Linked DNA regions of Oryzias latipes. The protein of the gene in region 1 purifies or fractionates together with the protein of each later gene. This does not show direct contact. Links are inferred from orthologs where the notes say so. Each region holds a gene or a part of one and is shown in the gene's direction. Other genes may lie near its edges. The genes, in order: solute carrier family 12 member 6 and stk39.

Region 1 (3,827 bases):
TAAAAGATCAAAATTTATTTTATAAAGGGCTTTATGATTTTTTTTATTATAACACACTTTCAGCTTTTGCTTTTGCATCACCACGTTGGATGTTTTTCAGCCTCCAACTTTCAAGAAAAAAAAACTTCAGGTCCATAGTGTTCTAATTTAACACATCAAAAAACACGTTTCTATGCAATCCCCCCAAAAAAACTGACCACAAATGTCTTATCAATAACATAATATATGTTTGCATACATTATTCCACAGGTTAACGCAAAGCAAGACAGTAGAAAAGACATGCATGTTTTTTGTTTTCTTTATTCTGTTTGCTGAATTTGATCATTTTGAAGACTGTGATGCAGCAGAAAACAAAAGAGAGAAGACATAATAAGGAGGAGGAGATGAGACACCAACAATCGAAAAATAACAAGATTAAAGTACTAATAATTGATTTTTTATATTTATTTCTTTGGTATTAGCAGAATAATGCCCCTCGAGGAGTGCATTATCAGAAATAAATGGACTTTAAGGAAAAGCATGTCTTGCGCGATCAGGGCTCGCTTTGTCCTTTAATTTATGAAAACATACACCTTGTCAGAAATTATCCCTTACATAAAATTGATTAGTTATAAAATGAAAGTGAGATTGACACAATGGGAAAAAACAGGCTAATTTGTCTGCAATTAATTCATTGCGATTAACACAATAGTTTGACATTCCTGCAGGAGCAACTCTTTCATGCAGGAGAGTTATAGTGCTGGAGTCCTGAACAATCTATTGTTTTTCATCAGCGTTTGACCAACAGAAATCAGGTTTTCAATTTCCTCTCTCTGATCCAGTCTCAACTCTCTTTCTCCACTTCCAGTTGTACATTGTGCCTAAGGCGGCCGTCTTTCACGGCGACGGGGGAGCCATGCTGAACAACATGCGTTTGTACGGCAGCATCTGCCTCCTCCTCATGTCCCTGCTGGTCTTTGTGGGTGTCAAATATGTGAACAAGCTGGCGTCAGTCTTCCTGGCGTGCGTCATCATTTCCATCATCTCCATTTATGTTGGAGCGCTGGTCTCAGCCTTTAAGGAGCCACATTTCCCGTGAGTATTTCTAGGAAGACGTATGGATTCTCACAGCTTGACCTTACAGCTACTTTGTTTCTACAGAGTGTGCATGTTGGGGAACAGGACCATCAACGGCCACTATGTTGCAGACCACCACTGTGAGAAGATCATCTCAGAACTGCACAGAGAAGAAGTAGAGAGACCTGAAGGCAACTTTAGCCTCGGCTTCGGTGTGTTCAAGTCTCATTCTGTCAGGAACCACCAAAAAACCGTCCTCCTAAATGTTCTATCTCCCTGTCAGAAAACAGCACAGTGGAGCCGGCCTCGCCCCCCACCCGTGAACCTGCAGCCGAGAACCAGACCACAGATCTCTGGGGGCATTTCTGTCAAAGCCGGGATCTGAACGCAACCTGTGATGAGTACTTCACCAACAACCAATTCTCCCAGATTCAGGGCATCCCAGGGCTGGCAAGCGGGATAATTACAGGTATGGTGGGCTCTTAAGTTAATCTGTTAGCTAAAAGCAACAGTGGGGAAACAAAATTTAGAATTCCTATAGTTTATTTCACAGTAAGAATGTTTCGGTCCAATGAGACACAAATCGCTCCAATTTTTAGCAAATTTGTGAACAATTTCATTAAAGTTTTTTCTACAATTTACAAGTAGCCTGTGGGAGATTTGAAGTCATTGGTCACCTAGCTACATAACATTACCTTTAGTAGTTTTTGATAGACTCCCATCCGTTTCCAATGGGAATTCTTATTTTTTTATTTATATAAACCATAAGTTCAAAAGTAATAGCACTGTATTCCTAATGGCGCTTTACAAACCAAAGGTTTTGAAAGGATGTTGATGACTGCTTTTATGTAGAAGAAGCAGGACAAAGGATAACATCCTGACCAACTTCACCTCAGACTGAAGAAGTCAATTTGGACAAGAAACGAAACAGTTCAACAAGAAATTCAGTTGACGTGAGAAAACATCTGGACAAAAAAAGATCCTTCATCATTATAAACAATTATGCTTTTTTAAATAGTTGATATTTTCATCACATATTATAAATAATTGTTAAAAAAGATTCCTTCTTTCACAAATTGTTTGATTAAAAAGGAAACAGATCTAGTCTTTACTCATTATCTGTATATTAAAATCCTGACAAAATCAGAACTTGTCCTAAAATTTAAATTTTATTGAAATATTATTTCAACTTTCCATTTAAAATTCAATTTTATTCTGTTGTAAAATCAATTTTCATGAAAGTATGATTGAGGTGAACAAATGTCAAACTTGATTATTAAATAGAGAAATTAAAGGAAATGCTTGCTTTGGTGTAAAAAACATTCCTGAATTTAATTAAAACAAATCACTTTTTTTGTTGCATAAAAAAAGACAAATGTAAAAGTAAAAAGTCTGAAATAGGAAATATAGAAATTAAAAAATGAAAGAAACTACATTTATTTGGAGTAAACATCCATGAATCTGAACTGAGCATCATTTAGTTTTCATATCAGACCATTATTATTCTTTTAAAAGTGCTGTATTAATCATAAATGGATGTTTTATGAAGTGTTTTTACTAATCTGCGATCCAAGTTTGAAAATTAGATAATCGATCCATAAAAGTAGAGATCGATCTTTTGCGATGACCTAACGCAACTTTTGTGAGATTTTGTGAGATTTTGTGAGATTTCAAAGATCAAGCTTTGAAAAAATCATGGTGTAAAACTGCTAGAAAGGAGGTGGGTAATAAAGAGGAGGGGGGCGAGAACACAACCTTGAGGAACACCAGCGAAAATGAGTGAGGGTTGAGATTTAGAGGATTTCAGCTGAATTAACTAAAGTGCAGCTTCTTTGTTAGAGCGTCTCTGTTTGAGAAACCATGTAACACTGTATGATGGTAACAATGTCCTTGGTTTATTATTTCACTAATAACTTTTACAGTATGTGAACTGTAAACTCTGTAAATTCAAAATTGATTTGAATCAAATCAAGTGGATCAAAGGAATCGAAAGAATTGTGAATCGATTGATTCAGGCTCTCATGAATCAAAATCGAATGGATTCTGGGGATTATTGGTGACATCCAGCCCTACCCTTCACCCTGAGAAAACATGAAAATGTTCTGGTCTCAAAGGTTTAAGATGTTCTGAGCAGAGAAAAAAATTAAAGGATGAGATTGACATGTATAACATTTATTTGTATTTAATACATCTTTGATGTTTTGCACAATAAAGAAATAGTTAAGAAGATAGTTCTCCTTCTCTGTACCTGAGCGTGCTCAGAGATGTAGGGAAGTTTGCAGGTGATTATCCCGTCTGTCTTGGTAGAGAACCTGTGGAGCTCCTACCTCACCAAGGGAGCTGTGGTGGAGAAGAGCTCCCTGTCCTCCGTTCAGGCCTCTCATCCTGCTTCCATTCAGCTCCCGTATGTCTTCGTGGACATCACCACCTCCTTCACACTTCTAGTGGGAATCTTCTTCCCGTCTGTCACAGGTGCAGCCTTTACCTCTGGCCAAAGTGGCAAAAGAGACGTTTTGAATGTTTATTTTGACTAAATGAATTGGAGAAATTTCCATTGGTTTTCCTGTCAGAGGTGTTGGTTTTAAGAACTGCTCTTCTCCTAAGGAATCATGGCTGGCTCCAATCGCTCCGGGGATCTGAAGGATGCTCAGCGCTCAATTCCCATCGGAACCATCTTTGCCATCCTCACCACGTCCATCGTCTGTATCCTTGGATGAAGTTCTGATTGTTTTTTCTTGATTACGTTTGTCTTGGTTGTTTTCCTTAGTGCC
Region 2 (3,827 bases), on another chromosome or scaffold:
TCATTGTATGAATGTATAACTGATGATTGTAATGTTTCTGTGTATTATCCCTATTTGATTGCTTGAAATAAACCATTTCAAATCAAATTTAAAAAATGACTGCACTAGTCATAAACTACATGTCACAGGCTGACTTTGAGCAAAATACTTACGAGGAAAATGCAACTAGTTAACTTATGCAAATATTTGACTGTCACTACACATCAACATCAACTTTACTACACTAGATCAACACTATCACACAAAAAATAAACAGATACAAAAATATTTATTACACAAAAATCAAAACTGGGATAGTCTTTTAAATCATTGACAGTCCTTCCACATGAGGCTCAGAACACACTTCATTTAGTGAGGGGTTTAGTAATAAAGAAACCTATTTAACATTAAAGACCCTCTTTGATAATTTTTGAGCTATTTTAAAAGCATTCCTTGTTTATTTTTTTTTTTAAAAAGACGTTTTTTTCCAGAAAGAAAACACTTCAGTTTTCTAGGACATAGTTTCTGCAGATCTGTAGTAATTCTTTAGAAATTTGTCTCTGACTTGTGGATGGGACCCTTTATGCAGAGCAACCCCGCCACCCTTCCCCTTCCACAAGCACTGAGCTTGTGGCCCGCCCAGTGTATTTTCTACGTCACAAATAAGCTCCCTTTCAAGTGGCAATTTTTTTTTCATCTGCTTCTGATTCACAACGATTTGAATAAAGTAATGTTCAGAAATGCAATTTGGAGCTTAATTCTCTTTAAATGTGTCCTCCATCATCAGAAAAATGCCACAGAACATGTTAAATCCCCCAAAACACGACTTTTATTGGGGTGGGTCTTTAAATGACTTGTCATAAAAGGAGCAGTGTATAGGATGAAATCATCCAGAGAGACAGAAGTTTCTGTATAAACATAATAAAATAAAATTTGTGATAATATAATCTGTTTTGTATTGACTTATTAGCTAACATGGCGTACTCAAGTGGTCTGTGTCTTCAAATCAAACGAACAGAGCGTGTAAATGGGGCCATTGTGTTAAGCGATAGTGACACATCGTTGAGTCAGCCGGCACGTGTCAGTGGGGGCGCGTGTGCGGCTGCGCGCGCGCACACGCGTGTTCCGTTATTTTCCGGGTTGAGCTCAGTGAGAGTCGGCGGCGGCCGTGGTGCACCTCCCTCGCTGACACCACCACCGAGGAGGTGAGGTCAAACCTGACTGTCTGTCTCTTCCCCCCGCACAGTCAGTCACGGAGGCTGCTAACTAGCGCAGCATCACGGGCATCATGGCGGACCAAGGCGAATCCCCGGTTCCCGTCCTCCAGCCGCAGCCGTCGGTGACAACCAGCTGGCCAATTACCAGAGAGGCGTACGAGCTGCAGGAAGTCATAGGTTAGTACGCGGGGAAGTCTGCTTCTGATCACAGCTAGGGGAAATGATGAGTCGTGAGCGGCGGAAAACGGCCTACCGGCATTTTTATCAGTAAAATGCCGCCTCTTCTGTCAACATGTCTGCGAACCGCATGCATTCAGAGGAACCGAAATGTCACGCGAACAAGTTCCTTCAACCGAACAGGCTGCTCCGTTACAGGAACGAGCACGCGCAGGGTTATTCAGTTAAAACACAATTACTGAGGCTTTCAGCTGCTGTTTGGTGCATCATCAAGTACTTTCTGTACTAATCCAAGAAAACTTATTATTTCTTCTAGTCAGAAATAACTGATGGAGTCTTTTAAAATTATTTTCCTCACAGGAAGTCCTAAAAGATATCTGTTCACGATTAATATACAATAATACAACCAAAACTTGTGTTCGAACTTTACATTTTATTTAAAAGATAACTACATGTTTTAATAAAAAATACTCACTAGCAGCATAACGATTAATCAACTTAATTGATTTATATTCCTGCGGTCCAACCAGATCGATTTGTCAGATCAAGTTTTTTGGAAAATTGTTTCAAAATGAACTAAATGGATATTGGAGAATACCATTTGGATTTGAGGCACAGAGGGTTATAAGGTAAAAACCACCAGAAAACGGTGAATTATGCAGACATGCGACCATACAGTGAGGTAGAATGTTCTAATAAACTTCAGTTTGGATTCATTTTTTGTGGAAAAACAACAGTGGGCTGAACTTTATGAATTTGCCATTAATTCTTGTTTACTTGTTTGTTTGTACACATATTTAATTTTGATTATCTTGCAAGAAACACAAGGAATCTGGAAAACTTCCCCTGCACTGTTCAGTATTTATCTCAGTCACACTGGTTGAATTTTTGTCCTGGTGCGATTTTAGGTCAGTGACTTGGATCAATCAAAATTAACCAAAACCGACCATGAATCATATCAAATTGTTGTTAAAATGACACCCATACTACTTTCGAATATGACATTGCTTTTTTATGTAATTACAGTATTTAGTGTTATTCCATAATAGCTACTGACACGTCTTTGTTTCTAATAATCACAGAGGAACAAGCACAGATTTGAGAACAAATGATCATGAATGTTCACTCACACAAAGGTGATAAACTGTTTTTCCTTGTGGCATTGACTTCCACTGATTTGCAAACAATAGCAAACAATCTACCAGATCAGTGGAAAGCTTTTCTTTCATCAGGTTTTTTACTGTACGTCGAAAAGCATACATGAATGCAGAGTTCTAGTGTGCAGTTTTTGTTTGAAAAATAAAAACGTATTATATATTTGGTCAATATTCACTTCATATGTGTCAATGAGTCACTACTAATAGGAAATAGTGCTGCTGCTGTGAGCAGGTACCCCCACAACTGCCAAGCAGAAATAAAAAAAAAAAACAAATCAGTGATGTACTCCAGGACATGTCTAAGGTTTCAGCTGCTACACAGACAACAACAAAAGCACAGACTTAAACATGAAAGCCGAGGCAGTGGTGCAGACACGAACATGATCTTCCAGCTGTGCGATGTGAGTCCCTCTTGGCTCACCGCTCGGCTGTGGCTGTGATTTCAGGCAGCGGAGCCACAGCTGTGGTGCAGGCAGCCCTCTGCACCCCCAGACAGGAGCGCGTGGCCATAAAGAGGATCAACCTTGAAAAATGCCAGACCAGCATGGATGAACTGTTGGTGAGTAAAACACACATCTCTTTCATTATTATTTTGCTTATTTTTCTAGTCTTTAAATCCAGTCTCACATCCAGAAAATAACACCAAAGTTTTGATCCTTTGCATAATAAATAAAATCTTTTTTCTGCTGACAGAAAGAAATTCAAGCAATGAGCCAGTGCCACCATCCAAACATTGTTACCTACTACACTTCCTTTGTGGTGAAGGATGAACTCTGGCTGGTCATGACGCTTCTGAGTGGAGGTAAGCTTGTTCTAGCTGTGTGAATAACACTTTCACTGTGATAGATTTCAAAATCACAAATTGATCAGCAGCAAAAATAGAGTCACTGCTTTCATCCTGCCTTGCTTATCGTAATTTCAGTCTTTCATAGAGGGAAATTTAAGCTTTTTTAATCTTCAAATAAAAAAAAAAACATTTTTTTTTTCAATTTGTCACAAATCCAACTTAAAATTACTACAGATTCTGAAAAGAAAAAGTTCAGGATTGTTTTTTTAAACAGCATCTGCTCCTGCTTTATAACAATACAGAAATATTCAGAAATTTAATTTGGAGTTTAATTTTATGTATGTCCTCCACCATGAGAAAAAAATGCCACAACATGTAAAAAACACCCAAAACCAAATTTTCATCAGTGTGTTTTTAAAACATAAAAAATAAGCGAATCATTGAGCAGTTCATAGCTAAAACATTAGCTTTGCTATAACAGAAAGTGCCAATAATTATGCTAATAGTTCA

Evidence for each region.
Region 2: the proteins of solute carrier family 12 member 6 (region 1) and stk39 purify together in Homo sapiens (affinity purification with mass spectrometry; 3 studies listed by BioGRID and IntAct, with this or other methods). This does not show direct contact. The link is inferred for Oryzias latipes from reciprocal best matches to the Homo sapiens genes SLC12A6 and STK39.

The regions. Positions count from the first base shown.
Region 1 is NC_019876.2:21,363,750-21,367,576, forward strand, and holds part of solute carrier family 12 member 6, read left to right. Parts: intron 1-847; coding exon 848-1,074; intron 1,075-1,140; coding exon 1,141-1,268; intron 1,269-1,339; coding exon 1,340-1,525; intron 1,526-3,363; coding exon 3,364-3,528; intron 3,529-3,660; coding exon 3,661-3,759; intron 3,760-3,827.
Region 2 is NC_019879.2:21,553,271-21,557,097, reverse strand, and holds part of stk39 (STE20/SPS1-related proline-alanine-rich protein kinase), read left to right. Parts: intron 1-1,064; exon of another isoform or gene 1,065-1,225; 5' UTR 1,226-1,267; coding exon 1,268-1,373; intron 1,374-2,976; coding exon 2,977-3,089; intron 3,090-3,223; coding exon 3,224-3,332; intron 3,333-3,827. UniProt on the Homo sapiens protein: Effector serine/threonine-protein kinase component of the WNK-SPAK/OSR1 kinase cascade, which is involved in various processes, such as ion transport, response to hypertonic stress and blood pressure.